4 linked regions of the Oreochromis niloticus genome follow. The protein of the gene in region 4 interacts with the protein of the main gene of each other region in a pairwise test. Links are inferred from orthologs where the notes say so. Each region holds a gene or a part of one and is shown on either strand. Other genes may lie near its edges. The genes, in order: slc25a48, hoxb9a, unc45a and mid2.

Evidence for each region.
Region 1: the proteins of mid2 (region 4) and slc25a48 interact in binary tests that used the Homo sapiens proteins (3 or more experiments, as listed by UniProt). The two-hybrid records come from large-scale screens. The link is inferred for Oreochromis niloticus from reciprocal best matches to the Homo sapiens genes MID2 and SLC25A48.
Region 2: the proteins of mid2 (region 4) and hoxb9a interact in binary tests that used the Homo sapiens proteins (3 or more experiments, as listed by UniProt). The two-hybrid records come from large-scale screens. The link is inferred for Oreochromis niloticus from reciprocal best matches to the Homo sapiens genes MID2 and HOXB9.
Region 3: the proteins of mid2 (region 4) and unc45a interact in binary tests that used the Homo sapiens proteins (3 or more experiments, as listed by UniProt). The two-hybrid records come from large-scale screens. The link is inferred for Oreochromis niloticus from reciprocal best matches to the Homo sapiens genes MID2 and UNC45A.

The regions. Positions count from the first base shown.
Region 1 is NC_031966.2:6,859,438-6,867,502, forward strand, and holds the start of slc25a48 (solute carrier family 25 member 48), read left to right. Parts: upstream 1-4,722; 5' UTR 4,723-5,195; coding exon 5,196-5,250; intron 5,251-7,213; coding exon 7,214-7,257; intron 7,258-7,820; coding exon 7,821-7,892; intron 7,893-8,065.
Region 2 is NC_031969.2:2,761,735-2,769,449, forward strand, and holds the start of hoxb9a (homeobox protein Hox-B9a), read left to right. Parts: upstream 1-4,282; 5' UTR 4,283-4,578; coding exon 4,579-5,194; intron 5,195-7,715. UniProt on the Homo sapiens protein: Sequence-specific transcription factor which is part of a developmental regulatory system that provides cells with specific positional identities on the anterior-posterior axis.
Region 3 is NC_031972.2:57,599,322-57,606,739, reverse strand, and holds the start of unc45a (protein unc-45 homolog A), read left to right. Parts: upstream 1-4,368; 5' UTR 4,369-4,505; coding exon 4,506-4,529; intron 4,530-4,644; coding exon 4,645-4,837; intron 4,838-6,453; coding exon 6,454-6,629; intron 6,630-6,714; coding exon 6,715-6,804; intron 6,805-6,939; coding exon 6,940-7,107; intron 7,108-7,317; coding exon 7,318-7,418.
Region 4 is NC_031966.2:21,470,550-21,478,414, reverse strand, and holds the start of mid2 (probable E3 ubiquitin-protein ligase MID2), read left to right. Parts: upstream 1-4,820; 5' UTR 4,821-5,284; intron 5,285-7,865. UniProt on the Homo sapiens protein: E3 ubiquitin ligase that plays a role in microtubule stabilization. Mediates the 'Lys-48'-linked polyubiquitination of LRRK2 to drive its localization to microtubules and its proteasomal degradation in neurons.

The sequences.
Region 1 (8,065 bases), about 15 Mb from region 4:
TGACATAATACCCTGACACTAAAACCCACACTTTGAACCTCAAAAATGCCTTAAACTTGTGGGGACGGGCTTTTGGTCCCCATAAGTAGAGTAGCATACCAATTTTCTGTCCTCACAAAGATGTCTAAACATGCACACACACCACATTTTCTATCTGCCTGACCATCTTCCTGGTGACCAGTCCACCTTTACCAGGTCCATATTATCAGTCAAGCTGAGACAGAAGGAATTTAAAGGTTTGTAATTTGGTTATTTGTAGTTTGATTCCTTCCAAAAATGTATTAAATTGGAAAATAGCATGACACCTAATTTGTTCTGTACATCTCTTTTTTTCTATGTTCTGATAGAGGGAGACACTTTTACTTTATGAAACCTTTATTTTAAAAAAAAGAATTCATACAATAAGTTTCAAGAATAATTGCGGTGAAGTCTAAAACCTGTTTTCTCTCGCTGAGCTTCTGTATTCAGAGAAACATATCTGCATAAATTCCTGTTGCCATTCCCAGCAGTGCTGAGTTTCCAGTTCCTGTGAATAAACCTTTTAAAACTGCTGTTGGCTTCTGGGTTAGCTGTTTAAGTCCATCCTTTGGTAAATATGACAAAGTTGTTTGTGAGTCATAGAATTTCTCAACTTTCACAGTGAAGAAATGTAAAAGTGAAGTGATCACTTTGTGTAGTCACACTGAGAATTGCTCTTTGTTCTCTTCATCACAATGAGCACATGAACTATTTTTTATTAAAAAACTATTTTTAAGACTCTGTGCGGTTAATGTTTTTCTTCACCCTCCCCTGCACAGCATTACCCTCAGGCAATGGAAAGTTCTTGAGCCACTTGTCCAGATAATATCTATTTAAATAATTGCAGCTTCAACAAAACAGCCAAAAAGTTTTCATACTTTCTGTGACAGCTGGCCTGGATGGCATTCATTCAAACCTGTGAAATATGGTTCAAGTAATAAATTCTGTGTTTCTGCTGCCAATGAAAGTTTACCAGTCACTCATTTAAGATATATGAGACAATACCTCACACTGGCCAATAGCATGTATTCGTGAATACACAGGAACTCCAAAGGTTATTGTTCAAAAATGTAATGTGCACATCTGTTTCACAGTTTAGTATTACTGTTTTTCTAAGTTTAACACTGAATGAAAGCTCATTATATGATATGACAACATACATGACACAGCCGTGTGTGAAAGCATGACAAAACAGATCAGTCGTGGGGTACATTTATTCTTTATGGCAAGGAAACCCCTCTAGGTTTACGATACTAACCAACCTGTAGATTGTTTTTCATCCATCCATCCATCCAATTCAGTTCAATTCAATGTCATTTATACAGCGGCAAATCACAACAACAGTCGCTTCAAGGTGCTTTATATTGTAAGGTAGACCCTACAATAATACAATCCCAACAATCATATGACCCCCTATGACCAAGCACTTTGGCGACAGTGGGAAGGAAAAACTCCCTTTTAACAGGAAGAACCAGGCTCAGGGAGGGGCGGCCATCTGCTGCGACTGCTTGGGGAGAGATAAGGAAGACAGGATTAAAGACATCCATCCATCCATCCACCCACCCACCTACCTACCTTCCGGCTTTCCAAGGCGACAATAAGTTGTTTGTAGGCCAGCTGAGAAACATAATCTCACCGGGGTGTCCTGGGTCTGCCTGGACGGTCTCTGCCCTGTGGAATATGCCTCTAACACCTCACCCAGGAGAGGCTCCCTGGTGGCCACCTAAAATCAAAAATAAAAGTTTGATGTGTAGGAGTAGCAGCTCTGCTCTGAGCCCCTCCCACACGACTGAGCTCCTCAGCCTGTCTCTGAAAGGCTCATTATTGTCACCCTCACAAACAACTGAGGTGCACTTTGGTGTCATTTCGGCCAGTCATGCATCTCTCAGGTTTATAAGCCAACAGGTGTACACCTGCTGCCTTCCTAACCAGTTTAAAAGGCTGAGGGTTTTTGTTTGTTTGTTCATTTGTTTGTTTGTTTTTACTGCTGCTTCAATGATCTATCAGTGCAGAAGTTCAGACTCTCAGATTCTACAAGGAGAGATGCTGCAACAGCTGGGAGACGTGACTTCCTGGAGGACAATTCTCCTCCTCTACCAGTGCTGATATGAAGGTTTCGTCTGAGCAGTGACACCCATCATTCATGAGCAGCTACCCACGGCCTCAGCGATGAATGCTGATGTCTGCTGTTTACAATGAACGATAATGGGGCCCTGAGGCTGAGCCCACCCACCTTTGAGGAAGCTCTTTTCTGACACTTCTACCTTCTATCTCATTCGTTCAGACACCACCCAGAGCTTGTGTTCATATGTAAGGGTGGATAAAAGAATCAGCCGCTTCGCTCTCTCTCAGCCCCCCTCTCCCCTCACTTGGGGCAGTGTCTTTCATTTTACTCACTTTTCTATGTTAACAAACCAAAACTGTCATTGTGTCAAAATCTGTCCTAATAATACAACCCTGGAGATAAATGTTTGAGCTTTTCAGATTGACTTTTACGTGAAATGGTGTAATGCTTGCCTCAATCTGTAGTAAAAGAGTGAAAGGAGATACAAACACACTGTTTTGTTTATGTTTTATTTATTTTTTGGATAAGTCATCGGGGCTCTTGGCTGCTTCCTTGTTCCTTATTATTTCCCAAGCAGGTAGATTTTATTTGGCCCTGATATCACAGCGGATGCCGTCCCTGACCCGGCCTGTTTATCAACTTTGAGTTCCCTCCTGGAATCGAACCAAAAAAAATCTGAGATCCTGTCAAATTAAAAGCCTCAATAATAACTTCAACATAGATCTGAATCTTACTCAGGATGGTTGCCTTGTTGTTTTGAGTTTCTTGACTTTAAGAATATTTTCTAAATGATGTCCCTTTATTTTTACAGATAAACATTAATGGATCGGCACTGAGCTCATGTATGGGTTTTTTTTTCATTTCAGGGAAAGCTGCAGGGGAGGAGGGAAATAGAGGAACTGCTCTTTGCTGGTTGTGTTTTTTTAACCTTTGTTGGTCAGACTTGACTCACTGACTGTTTGACTGTTTTCTGGTAATTTTCCATAAAGTACGAAAGCGCTGTGTCTCTGTTATCAGCGTCTTATCGCAGGGTGCAGTACGAGTGGAGGTGAAGGAGGAAAGGGGGGAGTGTTCACCACAAAGACATGAGGTCATGTGATTTCAGGGGCAGTACATGTGTTTACAGATGATTTAGTTTCTGTTTTATCTTTCATTATTCCTTTAAGGCTAAATTATATTTGTGTGTTCACTCCCAGCACAGCACAGAATTTAAGCACATAAACTTTAGATGTCTTCTCATTTGGATCCTTAAATTAAAGGACAGAGTATGAACGCTGTGCTTGGTGTTACACTTGTATAATGGTAAGGAAAGTTTTCTCAGTTATTTACATTTTTATGATAGACTGAAGTTTGATGTGTTTTTGTAGCACTTTGTTGTTGGTTTATGTGTTCAAAGTGTTCACATGTTGAATATGAAAATTTAATATCTAACATCTGTCTTTTATTGTCTGAGTTTATTTTTCAGCTGTTGTTGAAAAATATTGCAGGATTCTGACAAAATAAGAAGGATCGATACAACATTGGCATCAGCCTCTGTTATAAAATAGAAACAAAGCTCCACTTTTGTCCCAGTAACTCACATCTGCTGCCTTAAATGTTGTTTTTGACCAAAGAAGTGAGCTGAAAAGTGGAGATGATTCTGAGCTGCTACCCTGTTTCCTTAATAATTACCAGAAAGGTCAAAAGCAAAGGACAAAAGCCCCGGGAACTAATAATTAAACTTCAGTTAACTTAAAAAGACCTTCTACAACATGGCGGACGAACGGTTTCTTTTTCCATGCAGCTGAAGGGCCGTGAGATACCTGGAGAAAGATACAGGAGACGTCTGAATTATAGGAGAAGGATTTTGAACTCAGTTCTGAATGTAGCAAGGAACCAATGAAAAGAAACTAATATGGGAGAAATGTGCTCTCCCTTTTTTTTTTTTAGTTCCAGTTAGTACTCTCAGTGCCGTGTTCTGGACCAACCAAGTTACAATACACAGGAAATTGTTTCTGCTCATCTGGATGTTGGATTTTCAGTGGATGAAACATCTGAGTGACTTCTTCAGTCTCAGCTGACTGCAGGTTTCCCCAACCTTATAAACAATGCTTCTGCATAACGGCTGACACCAGCACCATGACTAAAGTTCCTCAAGGTGACTGTTGTTGATGCCACAAAAATAAAACTGAAATGATATTTATAAGCAGTTTGTGTAACTGCAGTCTTCAATTTGTAACCCAGGGGTGGGGGAACTCATTTAAATGCCTAAACTACCTCCTCAACATGTCTTGAAGTTCTCCAGAGGCCTAGTAATGAACTAATCATTTGATTCAGGTGTGTTGAACCAGGGTATGATCTAAAACCTGCAGGACACCGGCCCTTGGGGGCTGGAATTCCCCACCCCTGTTGTAACCCTGCTCGTTTTTAAAGAAATCAGATCTTTATCAAACACCTTCTGAGATGTTCTCTTTATTATTATTTTTTTTAACTTTTCCCATCAGCAGACAATTTTTTATCCAGGTTAGTCTGTTTGAGTGCAGCTCTGTTTCACAGCTGTGTCACTGATCACACTCTACCATTCGCACATATGAAGTGTATAAAAAGATCAATATAAGCACACGCTGCTTTAATTACATTCAGCCACGTTTTTTTTTTAATTCTTTTTTTTTTATCGATGATAATCATTTTACAGCACATACAGGAAGTTACTTTTTCTTGTCGGTCTATAAAGATGACCGCTCTTTAAGAGCTTTAATCTGATTGGACAGGCTGAAGTGAAGTGTTAGAAGTGTGAGAAAGGTCAAAGTGCAGCGTTCTCTGTTTTTCTGCTCAGCTTTCCTCCTCATGGCTCATTTCCATCCCGGCCTCTCTATAGGCCGCATAGCTTTGGAGAGCTCACTCCTGATTGGCCAGCAGAACGGCCTCGCAGATTCAGGCTTTGCTCCGATTGGTTGCTAGTGACAACTCCCGGAGTTACCTTCTATAAGCCGGTTTTTTCCCTTCTTGTGAAAAAAGTCTGGGCCGATACATGATCAGCAGGAGCCGGCAGCAGTAAGTGTTCTGTCCCGTGGAGAGCTCGCAGACTGTGGGTTTACTGGCGTGGGGCGCGCAGAGCAGCTCCGAGTAGAAGATGCAGACCTCCAAAAGTTTCCGCGTGGACGATTTCATCGCAGGATGGATCGCAGGTGAGTTCCTCAGTCAGACACTCCGTCAATGCGTGTTTTCAGTGGATCTTTGTGGGGCGTGTGGGGTGAAGAGGGTATGGGTGGGAGGTGGAGGGAGGCTCAACAGCGCGTTTGTTTGGGTCCAGTGAGCTCCACACAGCGCTCCACAGACACGCACAATCCTCCGTTGTTGTACAGTAAAAACACGTTTTTCAGGGGAAAAAAAAAACGTCATGAGCTCCGGGTGCATCCTCATCCACATAAACAATGGAGGCTCTGCACAGACTCCCACCCCCACCCGAACCCCTCATGTTTCCACAGTGAAGAGCAGGCTCACCGCCTCCGTTTACTCGGAAAGCTGCTCGCTTAATGCTCTCTCCCCTCGGTCAGTCAGGATTCAGTCTGCCGACGTTTTTATTCTAAGGACAAAAAGTCGCTTTTTCCAAGCTTAATGCGAGCTGTGTCAGGGCTAGCCGCTAGGGGCGCTGTGGCGGCTTCATTTTAGTTGCATAAAAAACAGAAGTAGGTCTCTTTATTCTGACAGCATGACGTCTGTTTATTGATTGTGAACCCTTTTCAAATGAAAATATGAACCATGCAAAATATGTACGACTAATAACACTTTTATAAAACTCAAACATTTAAAGCTCAGATGATTAAAGTATCAACAAGTGAAGAGTTCAAACATTTCTGGGGGGTGGGCAACTGCACGGCACAGATTTTATTTTAATTATTATATGAAACTGAAATTATAAAAAGATGTAAAACAAATTAAAACCTGGCATATAAAAACAAAAAAGCACATAAAGCCCTGCAAAAACACATTATCTGTTTAAGCTGTCATATAGTAATATTTTAAAGTCCAGCTGTGCTACAAAACACAGATAACCCTCACATTGTTGATATTCTTTATTTTGCAATGTGAAACTATTCTGCCAGTTGGACATCGCATTATTATGATGTCAGAGTCACAGCCGTGGAGCTTTTGCAGTCACAAAGAAGATTACACAAGGAGCTGATGCTAAAAGTCCATGTTGACCTGCTTTTTTTCTCCAAATGTTCAGCTGAAGCGATAGCAGTGATCGTATCAGTGAAGGCTTTTTGGAGGCCAATGATGAACTCAGAAAGACCCCACAAGTTTGGTTCAAGTGCAGGACTTCTAATCGATTTTAAGCTACAGAGTCCAGGGGTGCATCATATTTTTCTGTCATCACCAAGAATTTATGTTTTTTGTCTGCTTTGCAAAATGCAATTAAATTAAAAAAAATTTAAAAAGAAGAAGAATAGAAAGCTAGAAATAGACCTTAAAGAATATCTCACAGATTTCCCTGAATGTTATAAAATGTTAAGAAACGTGTGCAGCCTCATTTGCAGCTTCACTTTGTGTTTCACTGCCTTCACAGCAAAGGTGAACTGAAGTTTTTATAATTTTTTCAAAAAATATAAATTTTAGGGTTACACTGCTAACAAAGCACCCCAAGATTCAATATGAAATCACTGTGATTTTTAACGTTTGCGATATGCTGACCAACCTTCCAGTTGTATAACTAGAATACAAGCAGCTGGCAGCCAGTTGAGTCAAGTCCCCTGAAGTTGTGCTCGATGATAAAGACTCTTTCAGATTGGTGGCAGCATGCTGTCAGTCTGTCTGCATTCATAGATTAGACAGCAGTTATTTACAGACCTTTAAAAATCCAGAAAGACTGACTGTTTGCAGAAAGGTTTGCTTCTATAGGCCCACCTGTGCCATCACCATGTGATCTAAGTGTTGCTCAGTGTGCAACACCTTCAAGCGGTGGGTAATTATTTAGTCCCCACACTGCAGTAAAAACAGTTTAAGATGCTTTAGTTTTTGGCTGAGACGCGTTGCCTTTCAGCATGTTGGTTATGAGTAAAACTCTTGAGATTTTTGTGGAAAGTCGTCTGTTTTTCTCTCTCTGGCATTTTGTGCTTCATTCCTCTTTTCTTTCTGTTTTGGCTGTAGGAGCTTCCAGTGTGGTCGTTGGCCATCCGCTGGATACAGTAAAGGTATGTCAGACCTCTGGAATCATTTTACTGCTGCATTCCTCCACTTTTATCACTGCAGTTTGCGTACTGTAGCGTTGTAGCTGTTATAAAAACGGACAAGCCTGCAGCTCATCAAGTCATATACACTCTGTTGCACATTCTTTTGGGCAATTTTTTTTTTATTTACGTCCTTATCCATCCTACAAATCAGGATCTGTGTTTGTATGACACACAGAGTCAATTCAGCATTTCTTCCCTATAATCATAATTGAATCGATGTTTTGATGTCACATATTTCTTTTGCCAAAAAGAATTTAGTATGTGTAGCAGCTAAGGAAGGAAGCATTTAGCAGAAATGATCTGAATGTGCTTAAAACCAGTGTGAGTGTTGTGAACTGTCTTCAGTCAGAGATGTGTGCAGTGACTCCGAGGTGAAAAGCCTGAATATTTTTGTCCAACAAACTCCAAAATAACAAAACTGAAAATCTATGTTTCACAATCAGGTGAAAAAAAACCCAAATCAATTTTATTTATTCCTCATATGGAAATTGCTTGTTTAAATAAAGTCCGTGGCACTGTTTCAGACTCGGCTCCAGGCAGGGAAGGGCTACAAAAACACTCTGCACTGCATCCTCACCATCTACAGGAAGGAAACGGTAAACATTCAAACTTCTTCTCTTTCCTCCATTTTTTGCATTGCTCCAAACAGTATAAACAGTAACAAGTTATCTGACGTGTTTTGAAAATATGCTTTTCATGTGTTTATGGTCTAATAAAGGCTCAGATAAGATAAGTAACGATGGTTCAGGGTGTCCAGGTTTGGACTGTA
Region 2 (7,715 bases), on a different chromosome or scaffold from region 4:
AAGGCTGATGGTTTTTATCCCTATTTGAGTCAAATGATACAAAATGTATCATCAGCAGCTGTATTGTAGTTAAGATGTTTCCAGACATTACTTCGCCGTGAGCCCATCCAGCATAACGATATGTTTCTACTTTTTTCCTGCTGCTTAACTAATGATTAATACTGACTTCACTGTGCCTGTAGCTTAGGAGGGAGAGCGGTCATCTTGTAATCCTAACGTTGCTGGTTTGTATGCAAGACATGGGCACGATACTAACTCCAAGTTGGTCCGATGCATCTATCAGTGTTAGATAGAAAGATTTAAGCATAGAAAAACGCTTGTGTGAATAGGTGAATGAGGGGTTATGTATAAGACGTATTAAATCCTTTGGAAACCTCCTTAAGCTTTTCAGCTGAGAAATATAATGATCTACGAGGTTCAGCCACGTGGTCGTTGTTAAAATATATAGATCGCATCAGTCACACAGGTTATGATACTCATCAGGTTTTATTGTAACGTAACAACCGTTACCTTTAATAAGAATATAAAGCCTAAATGAGCAATTGTAAATCACATGAGTAAGTGTTAACGATTTCTTTTAATTATTTATTATTATCTTATTTTATTTTTTAGACTTATTATTACACCGCTATTACTGGGGTTATAAACGCTGACGTCCACTGTAAATATGACTTTATTACATGGCAGTTATTTTACCAGAAGCATGTATCAGTGTTAATCTCGGAGTTTAATTTTTGCAGTATCTGTTATCACATTTGGGATTTTTTTTTCCTTTAGTTTCAGAATTAACACTGAAACAGTCTGTTCCCGTGGTTTTGTACTCAGCGTTCATAATATATGAGTTGTTCTTGATTTTTAGAAATAATTCAAAAACATATGAATTATATTACATTAAAATATTAATGTGACCACGTGATGCATGCCTATTTTAACAGACTACTTCTACAAACAAAATAGAAAATGCAGTTTGATATCAGAAAGAACTGTTCCAAAGCCAGGCAAACAAAACGACAGACAAAAGAGGAAACGATGTCTCTATGTGTGTTAACTCATTATGCATATTCCATGAAAAATGTTATTATGTTTCTTTTAATGCAAAGGAGAATACTTGAGACCCTCACTCTATTTCAGAAGATAAATGTTAGTGCCTATTTTGCGCTCCTTTCAAAACGTTTCCGCCGTTTAGGAAGAAAAGAACAGCGGATGAAGAAAAATTGCCAGTATGTGGGGAAATTAAATATCTAAATACTAAAAGTTCATGAGACAGAATGTTGAGACCCCTTTTCCCCAGGGAAACTAACCGACTGAACAATTAACCGACTGATTCTGTATTAAATTAAATACAAATATCACAGGGAGTAGTTGATCGGGGTTTTTTAAATTTCAGATCAAAGGGCCAATGAATATATTTTATCTAATTAAAAATAATAAAAAAAAAATTGAAAAGCAATTAAAAAAATATTATTTACTTTTAAAAAAAGAAAAGAAAAAAAATCTCTCCAAACCTTTTCTCTAATATTAAATGTCTGCATAATGACATTTTAGCTGGGTTAATGCTACATCTACATATTATTGTTTTTTGTTTTGGTTTGTTTTGTGACAAAATAATTTAGAAAATTGTTAAGTTCATGTTATTTTTCTTACCCCACCGACTACATTTATTTAATTTTAACTTGATTGTGATTAACAGTCAAAATACTTTTAGCTTTAGATCTAATTTGTCATTGGTTACAATATGATGGTGGAGCGTTCGCTGTGGGAAAAACAAACTAGGTTTACTTAAAAATATTCACTTTAGTATATCAGACACACTGCGATCATTTTCTTTGCAATTTCAATATCTGAAAATACAGAAATGCATGAAGTAAAGCCATCTTCATCATGCATTTAAATTGCTTTCTTACACTTTATTTTTTAATTGACTCAGCCTGCTTCATTCTCACTAAATGACTCCTGCGATTGATTTTAATATAATATTTAAATGTTAAATTATATGCCAGAAAACAGAAAATGGGAGATATTGGAAATGGATTTAGTGCAATGTAAATGCATGTAAACAAAAAAGGGTTAGGGGGAAAAGCCCAATTAGTTTGGTTACGGCTTCAGCTTTAAGCAGAATCATCGGAAGAACTTTTTTTTCTGTAAAGTTGCCATTAAAGCTCGGTACTTTGACTAAAACGAAGATAAAAACATAAAGATTGAACAGACGAGGCTGAATTCTGCACATGTACTTCATTATTCTCAGTTTTGGCAGTGGAATTGTGTTTTTTTGGTCACCGACGTCTTCCCAGTTGTTTCATGCTTTTGTGCCAATCTATGCCATGTCAGATCGGAAATATTTTCTCTACAGGATATTTGAAGAGAACATCTAAATGGATATGGGCAATGTTAAGAAAACGAGCATGACGGTATTGGATTTTGTTTGTGTGTCCATGAAGGTTATTTTCCGAAACTCTCTTTAGTCATAGCACTGAAGATGTTGAAATTTAAGGTGGTTTGCAGAAAAATTCTTTTAGCTTTTTCAGCACGACTGTCTCCAATTAACTTCTCGAGCTGGCAGAACGCCCTGCAGGGCGGAGGCCCACCGACAATTAAAATTCCCACAGCCTGTGGTCTGAAAAGAAAAATATCCCTAGCATTTATGCCTGCAGAACAGTATGTATGTTTCTACTCTAAACATATCGAAAATAATGCTAATTATTGCTTAACAATTTGAAGTGTCAGGTTAATTGACACTTATGTGGCAATGTGCTACACTGCTTCACAACGCACCTCATTACTTGTTCTTGTAGTGCATAAAAGCGATCTGGGTCACAGTAACTTTATCTAGAACCTATTTGATTGAGCATGAACAGCTAGAGTTTTTAATACAGTTTATATTTTTATTTCTTTTTCTTTTTGATTTTCAAACGAAGCTGTAAACGAGTGCTTTAACGCAAAAGCTCAGAGGAATGTGGTGAATTCAAGCTCAAATACCAAACTGTGCGCCAGAATCACCAGTCTTGTTTGAAGGACTCTAGGTTTGTTGGGTTTATATTTGCATTTCTTCTCCTGAGATGGACATTCACCAGCCGTCGTTCAGAATCGTACAAGTCATCATGTCTCCTCAGCATATATGAAAGCTGCGCTATAGTCCACCTTTCACCTTGTAAATAACAGCTTTAATAAGAAGCAACCTGTATTTCATATTTAATTGTAGTAAATAACTGTGTTAGCTCCATACGCGATGCACAGTTCGGATTTATACCCTTGAGTACTAGAATGACTTCCTGAACGAGTCAAAGACTCCAAGTCTGAAATTGTAAATAAATGCAAAGACTTACAAGCCCGGTGACTTTGCAGGTCAGCTGCAAGTCAAATGTTAGGACTCCCGATCAGCACAGACTGCAGCTGCTCTTCAGCGTCCTGGTTTCGAGCACACGGGCGGATTTTATCCCAAATAATTCAGCCAAAGAGGTCACGGCCGGTTCCATGAAATAAAAGTCCGTTCCAGCTTCTCTCCCGGTGCCCCCATTGAGCTCCGGACCGAGCTATGTTTACCCATAGCAGGCTGACCGCTGAGTGAAAAGTACCCTGTACCGGAGTAGCAAGAACGATTCAACAGCCCCAGTTGCGTTTACAATCCGCACCACCACAGGCCATATATCAACTCAATAAAAACCAAAGCAGCCGGCCCGATCTAGGATTTTATTATGGTATTAAACAGACTCAAAAAAGTAGTTGAAGTAGTTTGCGCTATAAAGACAAGCGACCTAACCACGCAGGACCCGATTTAATGACGCTCGTTAACACAACTGGCTGTTAATCTGTCAATAAAAAAACGCTCTAGAACTCTCAGAAAAGCTGCCAAGTAGATCCAGGAGTCAAGTAAACGATGAAAAACACACATAGGTGTGAATTTTACCGCCTATCTTGTCTAGGATAGAAAATATCTGTGTTAACTCTTCTTAAGTGGAGGACTATTGGCACTTATACTACTGGTATTTTAAAAGCACACTCCAAGATCCACAAATTGATTTAACAAGAGCCAACGTTGTTTTTTTCACTTAACATCTTGAATATATAAATTAAAAGTATTTGGCACTACTTATTTGTCAGCCATTGTCTCTGCTTTACAGTTCATACATACAGTCCAGACATAACATAATTAACGGTTTTGAAAGCAGCAGTAGAGAAATTGACAAGATATTCGGAAATAGCCTTCATTTTGCATATTGCATATAAACATCTATTGGGGTAGGGGGTGGGGGCTTGTGCATGCGTGATTTACGCTTCATTGACGCTTTTTTTCAGGTTAGAAGAAAAAAAACCGGCCAATCACTTTGCGCCTCGCTCACAGCCTTGACAAACCCCCGTGCACAGTGCTAGGCTGTAGGGCTGTAGCACTTTGTTTCGAAAGAAAGGGACTAGGGGAGGGATAGAGAGGCAGAGAGACGAAGTAAGAAAGGGAGGGGGCAACCTAGCAAAGGACAGAATTGAAGAAGATAAAGAAAGAGGGAAAGGAAGGAAATCTCGTAATGTCTCTTGTCTTGTTTTCTATTTAGTGAACTCGAGGCGTTTCACAGATAATGCCAGAGAATGTCCATTTCTGGGACTTTGAGCAACTATTACGTGGACTCCATCATAAGTCACGATAGCGATGAACTGTCATCCCAGACTCGCTTTCCTAGCGCCCAATATTCCGGCTCGAGCTCCGCTGCGTCCGCGAGTGGGAGGCTGCCGGGTGGCGCTGCTGGGCACACGGAGCATCCCCATCCCGATTCCTATCCGTCCTGCAGTTTCCAGCCCAAGCCTCCAGTCTTCTCGTCATCCTGGAGCCCGTTTAATCCGCACCACGGTGCCAGTGGCCTCCCCGCTGTCTACCATCCCTACATCCCCGCGCAGCACGTGCCCGCCGCGGACACACGGTACATACGTTCATGGCTGGACTGTGCGCCGCGGAGCTCTGAGTCTGGTCCGGTACAGGGCCAAACGGGTCAGGTCAAGCTGGAGCCTCAGCTTGGCCATCTCGGTGGGGAGATCGCATCCAAAATCATGGGACAGCATCAGCACGAGCCCACCACATACATCTTGGAGTCAACGTCCACGGCAGCGCGCGAGCTTAGCCACCATTCGGCCGCCATCCAGGCAACAGGGTTCGAAGAAAACAAGGACATTTGTGAAGGGAATGAGGACAAAGACGGCCTGGATCAAAGTAAGTTATTAAAGCAGGAAATAACGCGTGATAGTGGGAGAGAAGAAGCGGAGGGAGGGTGATTGTAAATGCTTTTAATGCCGCCATAAAACTAGAACAAAGAACTGGAGAGGCCGAAGTGCCCCCACCGTCTGCTCTCTAACTTTACTGTGTTTTTTGGCTCATGTCATCCTTGTATTTGCAGCTGGCGCCTGTAGTAACATTTTTTAAATGGATTCTGTGACGCAACTTTTTCAGAGTTTAACAGTTCTTTAAAAATATATGTCAGTGACCAGCAAGTGATGCATACGATTTTATTAACTCTATTAAATTAGCTAAAGATATTACGAGCAACACTCTGTATTATAATGCTGTGTTGGATTTCTTGTTTTAAAGGTGACCCTGGTATGGCCGTAAAAGAGACCGTCAAAGTGACTCATAGTGCTTACGATAGTGTTGTCCATCTGGCAAAAGCTTGTCACAGCTTTGCGCAAATGATGCGTATGTATCATATACAAGTAAAAAGATTTGGAGCGCGCGCGGGGAGGGCGGTGAGTCCAAAAAGCTTCGAAGTCAACTTAGGAAGAAAGATTATTAAGACTAACAGTTGGAAAACTTCTGGCCTATTTGGCACTTTTTATCCTCTTCGTCCTTGAAGCTATCAACCCGACAGAAATCACAGAAGGTAGTTTGTTTGTGTTACATCCAGATTGACATACGCATTACTGTCCTGTTTCAAAAAGACCAAATCCTCTTTGAGATAGGATATGATGTTATCTCTGACCCTTCTGCTCCCAATCCTTCGCCTTTACGCATTACGCATTACCCATTTTATGGCCCCTGCGTCTTCCGTTTTTCTTTTTAGTTGTACGCTTATAAATGGGAAGAAGAAGAAGACAAAAAACTAAAAACCAAATTGTCGAACCCGGTTTCTTTTTAAAAAATAATGAAAGCTCAGTGACCCAGCCGCAGAGCTCCGATCCGCCAGCATCTATGGAGCAGAGGCCTCTAAGTCAGCCTGCAGCAGGGTCTGGCTACACTTTGTTAGACTCGCATCAGAGCTGGACAGTGAGGACGTGAACTCTGCCTTCTTACAGCGTGTATAAATCGTCCCACCTAGGCTCATGTAAATTCCACAGTGGCTTCGAGCTTTGCCAGCTAAGTGTACAACGTGAAACACAATGAATATAAGGGCGGAACATAAAATAATTATTTTTGTCTGCATCCTAAATTAATTTCATTTTGTGTGTTCTTTATGTAGTAGCGAGTTTTATTTACTGATTTATTTATTTACTTTTTTTTTTTTTAAAGCCAATAATATATAAATGACTGCAGCCTTCAAATCAGGTTCATCTCAAAGCATCAAACAAAAAGCTAATTAAATTTTAACTTTGTTAAAATTACGCTTTCCTGCTGCGTAATACTTCAACACAGGCACAGCTCTACTGACCTCATTATGGTCTGTAGTCTGGTGGTTATACGAACGTATATGTAAAAATACCACAAATCACAGTCATCGGTCATCTTGTTATAAATCCGCTGGTAGTTTGACAAGTGCAGGACGGTCTTTTTTCTCCCCTATTCTTTTATGTGTGTGTCTTTGCTTTTGTTCCTTTGTGTTTTGTTTGATAGTTTGCTTTTTTAACGACAGCATTTGACCTGTCATATGCTGGGTCTTTTCAGAGTTATCTTCCAAAGTTTCTTGACTTTTTGGGTGGGACAGAAGAAAATCGCACCCTAGAAAGAGGTTCAGATGAATGTATAATTTCATTTTAAGTGACGCCGGAGTTTATTTCGCCTTCTCAACTCCCTCCTGACAAATCTACCAGAGGAGTCGGAACCATCGGTGTGCCGATGCGAAAAAGAGCGGGAGACCTGTGTCTCTATAGTGGCCTTAAGAAGAAAAAAAATGATCACAAAGAAACACACATTCATGTATACACGTTTAGTGTATATATACAAGAATGCTACACTGGAGTCACACACATATGCATACACATGCAGAGCCAGCTTATTACTGCGATTGAGCACGCTATCCATCAGAGCAGTGAGCTAGTCTAGGATGGAGGCTAGCAGGCTCCAGTCTGAATTATTAGACTTTCCGTTTGTGTTCGTGAAGGTGCTCCTCCTGAAGAGCTCCTCTGTTCCCCTGTTTAAATGAGTAATAGAAAAAAAGTTTCTCTCTGAGTTGTCTTACAGGGTTCAAAAAGCAGCCATACAGACTTTTTTCCTCTGGTTAATTTGTGTTCTCTTTGTGTCTGTATTGCAGTGTCTTAATGTTTCAGGTAGTGGGAGCCATACCAAGCAGCATGTGAAAGCCTTTTCTCTTCTTCATAACGTGGACATTTCAAAATGGTGGCGTCAACATGATTGAGTCCCCCCGCAGGACGTTTTTTTTCTTTTTTCTTGAGTAATTAGTAAAGCAGTGGTAAAGCAGTTTGGCTGGAAACACACTTGGTGCTTTGCATTTGTCATTTTCAAAACTCTTTGGTTTGGAATAAATCTTTAGGCATTTTAGAGACATTCTTATTTGCTTTCTTGA
Region 3 (7,418 bases), on a different chromosome or scaffold from region 4:
CACAGTCTATGCGTGTATGTACATGTAAATTATCAAATCCTCCCTAAATTGCACGTTTCGTGTTACTGACTGAGGGTTGACGCGTGTGATAAGGTTTAACTTCAAAGACTTTTGCTATCCCCGGGCAGCTAGCCAAAAGACACTTGGTTGCTTTAAACTTAAGCGCACTGAAATATTTGCAAACGGACATTATTTCCCACAAGCTCAGACACACAACAGCAGATTATTGCAAACAGGTCTTTAAGGTTTTAGCCATATTAACGGAGACTGTCAAACTTTAATTATCATACTTACTGCCTAACGTTACAAATTACGAATAAAAAAAGCTAGCGCTAGCTGTCAAATGTACCATCAAGTTACGTCTATTGGCAGCTCTGCGAACTCGATTCAAGAGTCGGACAACGTTAGTATGAGAACTGCAAAGGAAGGTACTGATAAATTTGGATAAACAGCTGTCACATCTGTCGTTTTGTTCCGCTGAACATTTATGTCGGTGATTACGGGCGATAGCAAGTATTGACTGATAACATTAAGACAATACGTGGCTGATATTTCCCTGCTAACCGCTTACTTTTGTCCTAAACCTCGACTACCGTTTGCGTACGACCTTGGCACCTTGTCTCATAATGATAAAATCTGACGTTACCCATGAAAGGAGAGTATTCCGGAAGAGTGTAAAGCCCAGCAGTGTACGTGGATTTAGCTGCAGGCTGACAGATTACCTGAACTAGCTTAGCAGCTAGCGCCGCTGAGCAGCTGCTGCAAAGGCTGATGGGAGGAAAGGGGGTGTGTGCTGCTGACTGACCAGCATCTTCGGTAAAATAAACATTTAGAAAGTAGCTTTTTCTATTAAAAAAAAATAATCCATCTATTTATCCATACTCTTCCGCTTATCCTTGTCCACATGAATTAAAAATATTTTTTAAATTTTATACTGTTGTACAGGTACAATTTTTTGAAGGCTTTGTGCTAATTTGACCTGTTATCTATTTAGCCGTATCTACTGAAATTAGATCCACCAGTGAGGGTCGAAATCAAAGAAAATTTTAATTTTAGTGAATCTTGAAACTGTCAAACTATACTGAAACTGAATTTTAACGGTACAGCGGTGTTCCCACCACATTTGCCTATAGCTTCCTGCACAGACAGGCACCTGCAGGTTTTTGAAGAATCATGGGGTAATCTCCAAATAGTGTTATAGTGAAAAACAGTATAGTAGTCATCATATATGGTGCACATAAGTAACTGAGGTTATACATAGGGTGCCTTGAAAGATAAAGCCTTAAAAAAGACAAGATATATGTTATAAAGGAATTTATAGCCCAGGTCAAAATTGACCTAAACCTTACAGTGAAGGCAGAGAATGTGAACAGTCGAAGGACTAATAAGTCTGATACATGCTGAGCCAATGGCACAGGAATAGAGTGTTTATGATAATACAGAACTGTAAAATATTACCCTTGTTTGTTATTACATTTTAATGTAATGATTTAATGATTTTAATTTAATGATTTATTACTGTTCCTATAAAAAGCAAAAATGTAGTTCTTCATCTTTGCTCTAAACAAATTCAATTCTGAAATTTATTAATACCTTTTGAAAGACCTTTTCTACTAATGCATGTGTGAGACTGAAAAATGGAGGAAAGTAGCTGTCCATTTCTCACCTACAGTGTCTCAGTGGATTATGGCAGTAGAACCTTTTAAGCATATAAATCAGACACTAATAATTAAAGGTTGACTAAAAGCAAATTAACCCACATAGATAGTGGATTAAAGATGTCCAGTATTCACTTATTTTGTTTCCAGTGTTGAGTGCTTGTTATAAGAAACACAGGCATTAAAAAAAATGCAATAGAGAGTTATTTTTGAGGTAGCTGTAAAGTTTTATCTCCATGAAATTTTTATAAAGCTACTGCAGTGGGACTGTTGTAACCCCTGCCAAAGTCCTGTTCCAACAGACAAAGAGTTTTAGACCACAGTGACAGCTGCAGAGAACCACAGTGCAGGTAAACAACAGCAGCAAAGCCCTATGTGGAAAACATAATGGTGCATTGATGATGAGCTACACTGTTGTTTTTTGGTGGCTTATCTAAGTCTGTTTTTTGAAACAGAAGGTCTGCTGTCACTTCAGTTATTAATGAGCAGAATGCGCAGGAAATTACAGGAAATAAGATAAGATAAGATAAGATGGCCTTTATTAGTCCCACAGGTGGGAAATTTGTTTTGTTACAGCAAAAGTGCAAAGTTATGTAGCAGAAATTAGAAAACACTGGAATGCAATAAAATACAATAAAATAAAATAAAATACTATATACAATAGAATAAAAATAGAATAATATATACAATAGAATAAAATAAAATACCATATACAATAGAATAAAATAGAAATACAAATACTATATACAACTGAGTAGGAAAATACAAAAACACAACTTCGTCAGAAGAAGAATTGCACGTATAGCAGTCTTATTGCACATGTGTGGGTTTGTGTGTTTGAACAGCTGCAAAAGTCTTTATTGTAGAGTCTGACAGCAGTGGGGAGGAAAGACCTGCGAAATCTCTCCGTCCCACACCGTGGGTGCCGCAGTCTCCCACTGAAGGAGCTGCTCAGTGCTGTCTCAGTGCTGTCACAGTCTCATGCATGGGGTGGGAGATGTTGTCCAACAGGGATGACAGCTTAGCCGCCATTCTCCTGTCACTCACCACCTCCACTGGTAAATGTGTTTTACTCCAGTCACAACACACAATAACTTTTGATAAGGTCTCAAAAAACATTAAAAGTGCTGTGCTACGTTTAAGGTTTCTAAGTTATTTCCAGAATATGGTTCCAGAAAGTCCACCAGTAATGACAACATAATTTTCCACATAAGAAAGGAGCAAATGTTTATTCAGCTGTTGTTGATTTCAGGCCAGGCCTTCTTTCTTTGGGACTGTGGTGCTGTTTTAGATTTCCTGCAGCTATATTATGTAAGAGACCTTACAGCAAAGTCCAGCCAATAGGAAACATATACCAATCACCATGCTGGATATTCTTCTAAATTAACAAAGGTGCTGTGGTAATATAAGAGTCTTAACAGGTGTACCTGAGCACAAGGACCAAAGGTGACGAACTTGTCTCCAAGGCGACAGAGGACACCGAACAATAGTGCTAGACAGTATTGGTAAAAGGAGATTTCCCATAGGACTGGTATAAGAAATGCAGTACGCGTCCTTTAGGGTTTTTAACTTTGGAGCTCCACTGCAAGAGACAAAGCAGTAGTGCTCACTTTAGGTTAACATATTAATTTGCAATGATATTAATTTTTAAACTTTTTACATCAAAAATCAGAATGCACTCTTGTTTCCAAAAAGTGAGAGAACTTTTTCCTTGGTTCATAATAAATGAATCACTTCACTATGAGGTGCTTAAATTTTAATGTAACACATGATTTAAGTTGTTCTTCTATGTATGACCTGAAGTACATATTTTGGCTGAACTGGCACTGTGGAACAACCGAGTTTGACATGCAAAACATTTTAACTAACATCCACAAACATTTCAAATGGAATCCCTAGCATGTAACATATAAATACAAAAACATGCAAACTGTAGAAGACAAACATTAGTTCCTTCTTCCCGTCTTGATCAAGTTTAGTATAATAAAGGACTGTATTGCTTAATAGCCTCCCCAAGTGGACAGTGTTTACATAAAACTGTTTAACATTGTCCTGCATCATACATAGGATACTTATGTGAAGTTACTGACATTCATCAGTGCTGAAAACGTAGAAAAAATTACAGTAAAAGATCAATTTATCTTTGAGTGTTACTTACTTAACAGACTTATGCATACACTTATACAGTTAATCAAAATAACTAGTTTCTTTTTTAAAGGCAATAATGACAAAAATCATAATATTTATGCTCAGAATTCACATAAATGAATTCTTAAAAATATAATTTATAATTTAAAGCTGCTCTATTGATTCAATAACTTTGAGCATTTGTGGGTCCTTTTACAAAATGTGACCAGTGGAGAACAACCCAGTCAGAAGAGTGATTTTCCCACAACCTGGCAACCCAAATGTTCTTTTCATGTGTAATTCCTTTAAAAAGATAGTTCTAACTAATTAATTGCTAAGTTTAAACAGCTGCTATATTACAGTTCTCAGACAGATATGGTGAATGTATGAAAAAAATGAACTGCTGGCTTTCACAACCCCTCTTCTTTATGACATAAGTAGCCTGATATAACTCTCTGTGTCTGCATGGACTGAAGAAAGCCACATGGAATGGAAATATAACCAAATAAAGTGGAGATGGGGGCAGAAACGTTGTAGCTGCTCTCTTCCTTTTATGGTAATACAGCGTGGGCGAGAGGGGCAGTGCACGTCATCAACGTGCTCCGACACCCGGAAGTGTAGAAAGATGTAACATGTTTGGCTGGAGTTGGCGGTGTTTGCGACCACGTATAGTAAAATAAATCTACATATTTGCATTATACTGTGTGCGACACCTTGAAGATGAGTGAGACTGAAAAAGAAAAGGTAACGTAGAAACAATTCGCTACTTTTCCCTAGCTTAGCAAATTTCACTCAAATACATTTGCTCGAAGTTTCTCCGTGATCCTGTTGCTACATTTCCACCCGTCTTTACTTATAGGACCCTGCCGCCCTGAAGGAGGAGGGAAACACTCTTTTCAAGGCAGGAGACATACAGGGTGCTGTCTGCTGTTATACCAAAGCACTGAAGCTGAGTGACAGCCAGGCAGACAAAGCTGTACTGTACCGGAACCGCTCTGCGTGCTACCTTAAGCTGGAGGAGTACAGCAAGGCAGAGGCTGATGCCTCCAAAGGTCGGCCAGTTCTCTTGTTTATTCTCAACATCACCGAATAACTAATCTTTCATTGCGGCCCACAGGGAGCTTAGCTGAAATGAAAGAAAATAGTCCATCTTAGTGCTCAAATTAGCCCCATTTTATGCGGTTTTAAGTTTATTCATCATCCGAATAGTTTCAAAATATAAATATTGGCTTGTGGTCTTTTTATCCATATTCACCAGTCACTTTTATCCATAATTGTTAATGTAACTTCCTGCTGGGAGTTTTTTGGGTTCAGTCCAGCTTTAAAAAGGGTACACTTGCACAATGACCATAATGATCACAGTGATCCTCCTGCAACCTTGCCATGTGCACTTTTGAATAGCTCTTAATTGTCATTGTACATGTACAATGAAATTGTGAGTGCTCCACACCAACTATGCAGGAAACAAATATAAATAGTAAGACAAAAGGAATAAATAAGAAACAGGAGTAATATATACAAGACAAGAGAAAGGCACAGAGGTTGCAAAGTGCACTTATATTACTCTGTATGGGTTAGAATATGTAAAATCATAATAAATTCCACATTTATATCAAGGCAAACAAAAAAGGTGCAGAAAGATCTTATGAACCTGTACTTTGTGTATATGAGTAGTTTACAGTAAGGTAATTTGCAATACCTTTGTAAATACATACAAATGGACCTATGTGCATAACACACATCCATATAAATGCACAGATGGCCTTATATTTCATACATTCATATGCTCAAAAATAGAAAAGAAACAAAAGAAGCATGACAACATTAAACTGAGCTACTAAGCTGACAATTTTCTACAGATCAGCTCATCTGACTCATACTGTGCATATATTTTCGTTATATACATAGATTTACATTGCCAGATAGATAAAGAGCCAAAGGCACTGGTCCAGCTTTCAAACTGCCCACATCCAAACCTATCACATGATTGAGTGGACCAACAGTAATACATGAAGGCCCTCACTCTGCAATCCACAGTACCCAGAAAAGGATATGCTCCCGATATCCCAGTACCAGACAGCAAAACCTCACCAGGCATCCTGTGATCATGACCCAGCAACTGTTTTGGTAGAAATGGGACACCTAAACCAGTGGGTTTTAATGTTATGGTATATATAGATTATATTTAAGTTATATTGAAAAAGTGAAATTGTTTATTGACTTTGCTTACTTATTGTGAAGGCACTACTTGATTCATACTCTGCTATATGTGGTGCAAACTGAGAGTATTGTAAACAATAGAGTTTGAATGCGCTCTGCTGGCCAAACTGTGTGATGACACCGATTACATACAAGCATCTTTTCCTGCATTACAGTACAATATTTAAACAAACAATGGACAACATAATGATACTGGTATATATATTACCAGCAGCATTATCTTGTCTTAACAAAAACAGAATTTTAGTTATTAAGTAGGTATTATAGACCAAAGTGTTGCATTTTTTTTTTTTTTATTGAGCAATAGTTACAGCAGAAATATTTTTTTTATAATGGATAACATTATTCATAACTTGTCATTTTCACCATTCTGGACATTGTTGCATGAAATGTGTCTTTCGAAAGATGCTTTTGCAGCTTGATGAATATTATAATTGTCTCTTTTCAGCACTCGATACTGACCAAAGTGATGTGAAAGCCAGATTTCGAAGGGCCCAGGCATTTCAGAAACTTGGCCGGTTTGACCAGGCCTTTCTGGATGCTCAGAGATGTGCCCAACTGGAGCCCAAAAATAAAGCTTTCCAGGATCTGCTCAGACAGCTGGGAGCACAGATTCAGCAAAAGGTGGTGTGATGTGGATAATGGTGTGGATAAAATTATTTTCTAAATTATATCTTGCTAATTGAAATATTTTCTCTTAACCCTGTAGTCAGCGCAACTAAATTCCACCGATGCTCGTGTGCAGCAGATGTTCTCCCTCCTCTTAGATCCATCTACTAAAGAGTCCGATCGACAGAAGGTGAGAATAACTCAAAAGGCAGATGAATACATTTCTCTAATTCATTCTTAATGTGCCTGATTTTTCTTCATTAATGCTGATGTCTCTGTAAAACTGTACGGCACCAAAATAATCAAATCTTTCAATCAATTTCAGGCTGCTCAGAATCTAGTGGTGCTATCTAGAGATGAAGCAGGAGCTGAACAGATCTTCCGTAATGATGGAGTGAAGCTAATTCAGAAACTTCTGCAGTCAAAGCTGGAGGATGTTGTACTTTCTGCTCTCAGGACATTGGTTGGTTTGTGCACAGGACATCAGTCTAGAGTAAGTGTGAATGTTCCTTTGAGATTACTATTTGCTTCATCTTTAAAGTCACTTTTTGCATTTTTGTAGTTTGGAATTATAAAAAAAAGTTTATATGCCTTCTGGTTTTCATCCATAATTAATATGAAGCTAGAGCAGACTGTTCAATGTGCTTGTCACTCAGTTGTTTTGCAGTTCGTTATTGCTGATGTCCACTATTCGAATTTCCAGACTATGGCGATAGTGAATGAGTTGGGAATGGAGCAGCTGTGTGCGGTAATGGGATCAGGAGCTTCAAGTGTGTCTCTGGCTGCCTGCCATCTGCTACAGGT
Region 4 (7,865 bases):
TTATTTCAAGTGTTATCACACGGCTACAATACCTTGACCTTCTGTTCATTATTCTATCTTATTATGGACAAAATATGTATTTTTATTTCATTAATTTTTAAGCATGGTGAATTTCTTATTTGAATAATGTATTTAAACACATTTTATCAGATTTTTATCAGACAGTTAGAGATGCACTGATGACCAAAGCTTTTGTCTTTTTCATTTCTTTTTATTTTCTTCTGCTAATCTACAGAGTAGCACAGCTGAGACATAACGGCTCAAGCAGACCTTGCAGAGTAAAAGCTCAGCCTGCAACCACCTGCAAGCTGACGTCTTGCTGTTTAGACCCTCATAATCCACTATGATTGCAGGATTTTATTTGTGGCTGCGCTGCAGTGTGAGAGAACCGAGGGGTCAGTGAGCTGAAAGACAGCAGCTGGCAGCTACTTACATTTATATGGATCCTTAAAATCCCAGACAGTTGCACAGCAAAACAGCCAAATCCTCAGAGCTCCTCAACAAAAGAAATGTTTTGTAAACTTTAAGTACATGCACTACTGCAGAGCAAAGATTTAGTCACTGGCATAGTTACATAATAAGCATTATGCAGTCCTTGGAAGTTCTTGTTGCTTTCTTCTCAGGGCATGCAGTACTGATTAGAAATGATAAATAATGTAGTTCATTTTGTTTTATTTTCAGCTAGTATTTAAAAAAAACTTAAAGCTATTAATTACAACTTCCCACATTTAAAAAAAATCATAGAAACATAATTATTTTTTGTAATACTCTTTGTTATCTTGTAACTAACAAAAGCTGTCTTTGAGTAGAGACTTTCATATGATTTGATTTCTTATGGTTGATTTTAGAGGTACAATACATAAAAAATATGAATATACAATATAGAAAATCAATACAGTCATCTCAGAGCCACTATTCTGTGACAACAAAGGTGCAGCCCCGATAAAATCTCGCCACTGGAGTTTCGTGTAGTTCAACATATAATCCAAAGAGAAGATAGCACTGACTGATTAAGATTTTTTTATCCGTGCACCTTTAAGCCTAGACCTCTAGCCATATTATCATTTCTGCTTCCACTTCCTTGTACATGGCTTGTGATGTCCTTGCCACCAGCATCATGTAGACACCTGTAGATTTGGTGCTCACAGGTCTATAGGCTTCTACATGATTAGTGAATATGTATCCTCTTAGTAGATCACCATGCAGGGTGGTTGTTGATGATCCCTGTGCTGTAGCAGTGTCCCCCGATGGCAGATTGCATACATCAGTTGCTTGTCTATGTGACACTTCTACTAAAACACCATCTTTACCTGCGAGGCACTACTTATTCCTCTCACATTTGACACAATGCAAACTAGACACCTGCAATGACTCACTATCACCTCTTGAGATATGACGGTATAACAAGACAGGACAGAGCCAAGGTTATCCTGTTAGTATGCTCACTTCAATAGATATCCCTGCAACACAACACACAGAAGCCTTTGACGTGATGTCAGAAGGGTTTCAAATTATGATGATTACATTGTTTATTTTTATGGAACATTTAAACATGGAAATCTTACTTGTTTTACCATTAAACCCATGTGTACTCCAGAAAAATTTAAAAGTGGGTCATTTGTTAGTGCCAAAACTTAATTAAGTATCCCATAGTGTCCCATCTGTACCCAGCCTCATTAATTATTACTTTTCCCCAGCCTCGGTTATCCCTTTTCAGTTAACTATTCATAAGCCCTGTAATGATTAACAATATGTTTTGGGTTAATCTCTTTGTAAGGGAAGAGATTTTTTTTAGAGCTAATGCAAAATTCTTCAGCTGAGTGTGTTATTAAATACTTTTATTGACCTCCACAGTTCAGAATTACTGAGGTCTGATGTTGTATTGACAGAATTTTTCTTTTTCATTTCAAACTGTGAAGCTCTAACGAAGGCCCAGACTCACCAACGAATCTCTCTACCTTTTTGTTGTATATTTTAGTATTTCTTTCTAACTCCTGAGGAAAATGATCAACAAAATCTCAGTGTTCATCAAATAAAAGCAGACCGTTTCAGTTCATGTAGCACTTATTGCTGAAGCTAATTTGTTGACCTTGTTATTTGCTTGGCTTTTAAGAAATTATAATGCAAACATACAAAAAAAGTATAAAAAACATAAAACAAAAGCACAGCAAGCAGTGAAATGACAGAAAATACTAAACCTGGAAACATACCAAGAGTGAATGAAAATGGATGGATGGATGGATGGATGGATGGATGGATGGATGGATGGATGATGGATGGATGACATTTTAGTGCATCTGCTGCTCAGTCATTGGTTGGTCTTTTCTCACATACTGTACTTACACACAGACATACTTAGCAAAGCTTCCCTGTCTAAATGTGCCATGTGTATTCTATCCATGGACATTAAACAGTGTTTTTCTCTTTTAACTTTGCAGAATTGGTTCTGTGTTCCTTTGACCAGTGATGGTAGTGTCGCACAGTCTGCCTCTGATCTTCATGCACATTTCAAACAAAAACGAAACAAAAAACAAAAAATGTCCACTTATAAAAGGATTAATCCAGAATGCTAACCATGACCACAAACCCCACAAGGTGGCTTTAAAGGCTGTTTTTTGTGCTCACAGGTGTAGGTTCATAAGTTCCAATGCACCCATTGTTAGTATCACAAAAGACATGCTGGCTCTGAACATATCAATGGAGGATTTGGGGCATTGTCAGTTTGGTTTTTATGTAGGATGAGATGAGTGTCCTTGCAAGAGAAATTGACAGACATCCTTCACTTTTAAATCCTGCCTTTTGTGACAATACAAAATGAGCCAACCACTGCAGTGTAAAGTGTAAGTTCTAATAAGACTGTTTTTGGGGCTGTGGGATGTTGGAACAGGAAAATAGCAAACTTATTTGTTTGAGCCAGATGACATTCGTCATAAAAGACCAAAGTGAAATGTGAAAGTTTGCCATTTCACACAAGCTATTCCTCATTTCGAGAAGGTTAAACTGATAAACGTACTTCTTTGACAGGTTTACTCATGTGGAAAATGTGTCACTTTGCAGACTGGGTGACACTGAAAGATAATAAAAAATTTATTTCTTGAAAAATAAAATCTATTTTATATGTGTGTGTAACAACTATGTTAAAGTCATCTATCACTGTGTACTAATACACCTTATACTTTCAGCTGGAATCTGTCTGTACAGCAATAGCATGTTCAGAAGCGAACAAACAGTCTTACAGGCCTGCATGCCAGCACAGATATCCACCTGCGAGCTTTGATATTCAGTCCAATGGACCAGCTGAGACCTGGAGTTACAGTTTATCAACCTAATCCATAAGCATATGTGTAAGGTGTGAGGGGTCCTGTGCACCCCTTTGCTTTTAAAACCTGTCTTACAACCACTCAGCAGACTGAGAGGGCCAGTGCTGGTTTTGCTTTTCGTGGGTGGAAGGTACAGAGAAACAAGGACTACCTATCAGTTTTCTCCTTAGGATGAAGTTGTCCTTCTCGTCTCTATTGAATACCGAGCTTGTCACAGAGGAACTAATTAACATGGCAACTTGTACGGCCGTGCAGTTCTTCCACCATTCAGTCTGTATCCCATTTGCATTTGAGAGCTGTTTGAAGGCAGTAATTCAGCAGAAAAATCCTTGTTTCTCTTCAGAACACCCACATTAGCTCACCTACAGAATTGGAAGCTCCTTTCAACTTCAGGCTCATGATGTACACATTTTAACGCTAGCACATTTTCTAGCTTTCTAAATGTTTATTTAGCTAAAAAAAAAAAAAAAAAAAAAACCCTCATCACTGAATCCCCATGCAAACATCATACTCTTCTGTCAGCTTCAAACATCTAACTAAAGCCTATGACTATCAAAATTTAATAATTCTTACAGTTATTACAGTTTGAGGACCAAAAGCTGAGAATTCATTTGCAATAAAAACCTCTGAAAATCAGTGTTATTAAAGCATGAGACTTAGAAATGAAAGATTTTATTTAAATTAAACACACACAAAAAAAATAGAATTCAGAAGAAGAAAAAAACAATCTACAAACTGGTGACAAAGGAATAACCCCTCGACCTTTATACCGAGAGGAATCGTTGGCTCTGGTGTGTTATAGAGCATTTTCTGGGTCCACGTGACCCCTAAGATTGAAGAATATATATATAAATCATGACAAATGATGGGAGTGGCGCCCACTAGGATGACAGTGCCCCCATCCATAAGACATGAGCGGTCGATAAATGGTGTGGTATAAAAATAATATGGAAATGTAAAATATGGCTGTTATCACCGCCTCTCAAACCAATTAACGCTAATGATGACTCTAACAACTCTTACACTTGGTTGTAAAAGTTGTTAAACTCTGATTGGTGCCTGGGAGTAGTGACATCATTACTGACTTAGATTACAAATTATGTATATGTCTGTATGAAAAGAAGGAAAACAGTCTGGATTGTGGAATAACCCCAAAGAGTTATCCTGACAAAATTATTGTTAATATCATTTTACACTGATTAATGGTACAACCTACATATGTGATTCTAATTTGTTCATTTTTATTAAGCAACATTTAAATATTTTTTATCTTAATAAATATAATTTATCTACACACATTTGAGTTACCATCTATAAGAAAACTTTCATATAATTATATCTGCTGTGGGAAATAAAGAATTGCCACCGCGATGTCAGCTAAACAGCAATTTAATGTCTTAATAACGGGCCAAGGAGACAGGTGTATTATATTAACAGATCCAAATTGCTAAGGTGAAGACAAATGACAGCGACACCGTGAGGTCACAGGGGATGGGAAAATGGTAGGAGGAGGAGTATGGGTGCGCACAGCTCGGGTTCTTTGAACGGGCACTAAAGCAGCGGTGTAACCGATCCCAGCTGCTACTGTGTGGGGAATTGAGAGCTATTCCCGTCCCCCGTACGTTGATCACGTGTCCTTAGGGGACGTTTGCTTTGGGGATCACTTTGGGAGGTAAAGGCAGCGCACCGGTGCGCGTATCCAATTTGGAGAGAAACATCCTTAATAATCGTAATGATCCACCGGAGGATCAACCGGATCACTTTTGTTTCGGGGCGTTGTCATACACCCTGTACAGTGGCTTGCTTTACACAGATCAGTAAGGAACTGGCACTCTTTGTGTGATCCGTGACTCACTGACTTGTCAAAACTTCTGCGCTTACGAGCCGCGATCTTTACTGCGAGCATCACATTGCTGCCATCTCCTGCAACGAGTCGACGTACGGAGCTGTCACTGCGAGCCGAGGTAGGCTGTGCTTCCTTTATGTGTGTTTTTTTTGGCGGAATAGCGAGAGTAACATGCACAAGAGGGCACACACTGGCTAGGAGCATGAGTTAGTTTGTGGAAGGCACACGCTGTGCAGTATTGTGGGTTCCAGGGTTGCAACAGTGTAATGATCCATGTCAAACGATACAGTAAGTGTATGACGAGCTCTTATCTGTGTACAGAAACATGCAGCATGAAGACGTGTGTAAATGTGTGCCTAATATTCTGCTTCGAAAAAGACGGTGAGAAAAAACAAAAACAAATGCGCTCTGGTACGTCTGTGGTGGGTCAGGGACTTAATACATGTGTTTAATGTTCACAGTGGCCTGCAAATTTATTCTCAAAAGTTTTTAAGAGTGCTAAAATTTCTGCACTCCTGTTGATGATGTTGCTGTTGAATATTCTGAATGAACTCTTACTTTTGGAGTGGATTATTTTAAAGACTGGTGAACATGCTTTAGCCTTTATGAACTCATCAGTTTAGCCATTGTGTACCACAACACCAGCCACAACATTAAAACCACTACTACAGCTGAAGCGTATGACACTCATCATCCAACTACAATGATGTGCTCTCCTGGGAAATCTTGGTTTCTGGCATTTATGTGGATGTTATTTTTGATATGTACCCACCTAAACATTGGAAAACAAGACATGTTTCATGACAATGGCGCTCCCAGATGGCAACAGCCTCCCCCAGTGGAACACTTGCACCCCACCACACCACAAAAACTGTTCAGGAACGATTCTAGGAATGCGACAGAGAGCTCGAGGTTTTGACCCGGCCTCCAAACTGCCAGATCCCAGTACAATAAAGCATTTACAGGATGCCCAGAACAAGCCTGCTTCTCTGAGACTCCACTCTGAAACCAGCAGGAGGCAAATGATCCACTTCTAATGTCCTGGTGCTTTTTCCACACATGCCCATGTCTCAATCAGTTGCAGCTGTTTTAGCAGCACAAGGGGGACTTGCACCACACTGGGCAGGTGGTTTTAAGTTTAAGGATGACTGATGTAGGAAAACAGGGACTAACCTGAGCTGACTCCCAGCCACGCCCTGCTGCTGTCAACCAAAGCAGCAGGAAGAGAGGCATTTTCTCATTTCCCCCCCAGAGAGATTAAAAGGAGATTTTTCAGAATACATATAAAAGTAGATTTTCTGAACAATCGCAGGAACACCAGTTGTCAAGTCTTAAATGCGTTTTAATTTTATGTAATGAAAATTCCATGTTATTAAATAAAAATGCCAAACTAGTCCAGTAGAAGGCACAAACCAATGTAGTCACCACAAACCTGCTAATAAATGTAATATGAATCCTGCAGAGTCCCTGTTGTGATATTAGATTGTCAGCCTGGTTATTGTGGAGACAGTGCTGCAGGTGACTGTAGAGGGACTCTGGCTTTGCCTTCAGAAAAGTGTAAAATGTCAGCTCCTTATCAATAATGCAGCACACCAAAAACAGTGGGGAGTAAGAAAATGGAACCCACTGTTAGAGACGGTTACCTAGTGCTTCATCATTATTCACATAATTGAATAACAAATACTTTATCAAAATCCACTTGGAGTAATTACCAGCAATGCAAATATTTCCATTCTAATCCTAATACACAACCAAAACAAACCCGTATGATGAGCTGTAATGTGCCATATCTTGTCATGCTGATCACCAGTGAAACAAATTTAATGTCTATTACAATTTTTTTTAAAAACGGTGGTTCACCATCTTATAAAAATGATTTATTTCCCTGCTCTCTTACTGCCTGTCTTGTTAATGCATGATCACTGTGGTTAATGAGACAGGTCTCAGTGCATGGGGACTGACAGTTTCAGAAACTGCACTGCTAGTTGGGTGAATACAACTGACACCCTCATTCATCATGCATCCACGGGGTGCTGCTTGCTCTCCTAGTCTATCCACGCTGCGCTTCTCTCCCCTTGTCTTAGTCGAGTCTCGAGTTGCACCCTCAGATGATAATTATTAAGACATTATACTGATGACAATAGCAGAGTTTTTTTTTCTGTAAAAGAGACAGGGAGTCAGCTTCTACGTGCTGGGATGATTATAACTGTGAAAGAGGGTTGGCGTTCGTTGTCGAGGTTGCAGCTGCAACGATTTCCAAGAATAGATGTAAATGCCAACTGTACAGTAGTGTACCTGTTTGACTCTGTTACTGGCAGCCAGTAGCTAATTGCGGACTAGCCAGAAAATCAAAAGCTGACTTGTCAAATATCGTTTTTTTTAAGAATCTGTGATATTACATTAGATAAATGAATATCAAGACGTTTTTTCCCCACACTTTTCTAACTAAATAAATGAAAACAAGTCTACATTCTTTTATGCTGTGCTTCATCAGTGGTTAAAATATGTTACCTGACCTGAAGCAATAATATAAAAGTACAATTATGAAAGCATTATTAATCTCGCTAATCCCGATGGCATGCCATGGTGCAATTTTAAAATGTAAGAGATGTAATTAACCCACATTTACCATAATTACTGAAGCCTTGACTAAACTTTGTAAGCTTGCATATTGCAGTATCTCTTAGATTTACTGTATT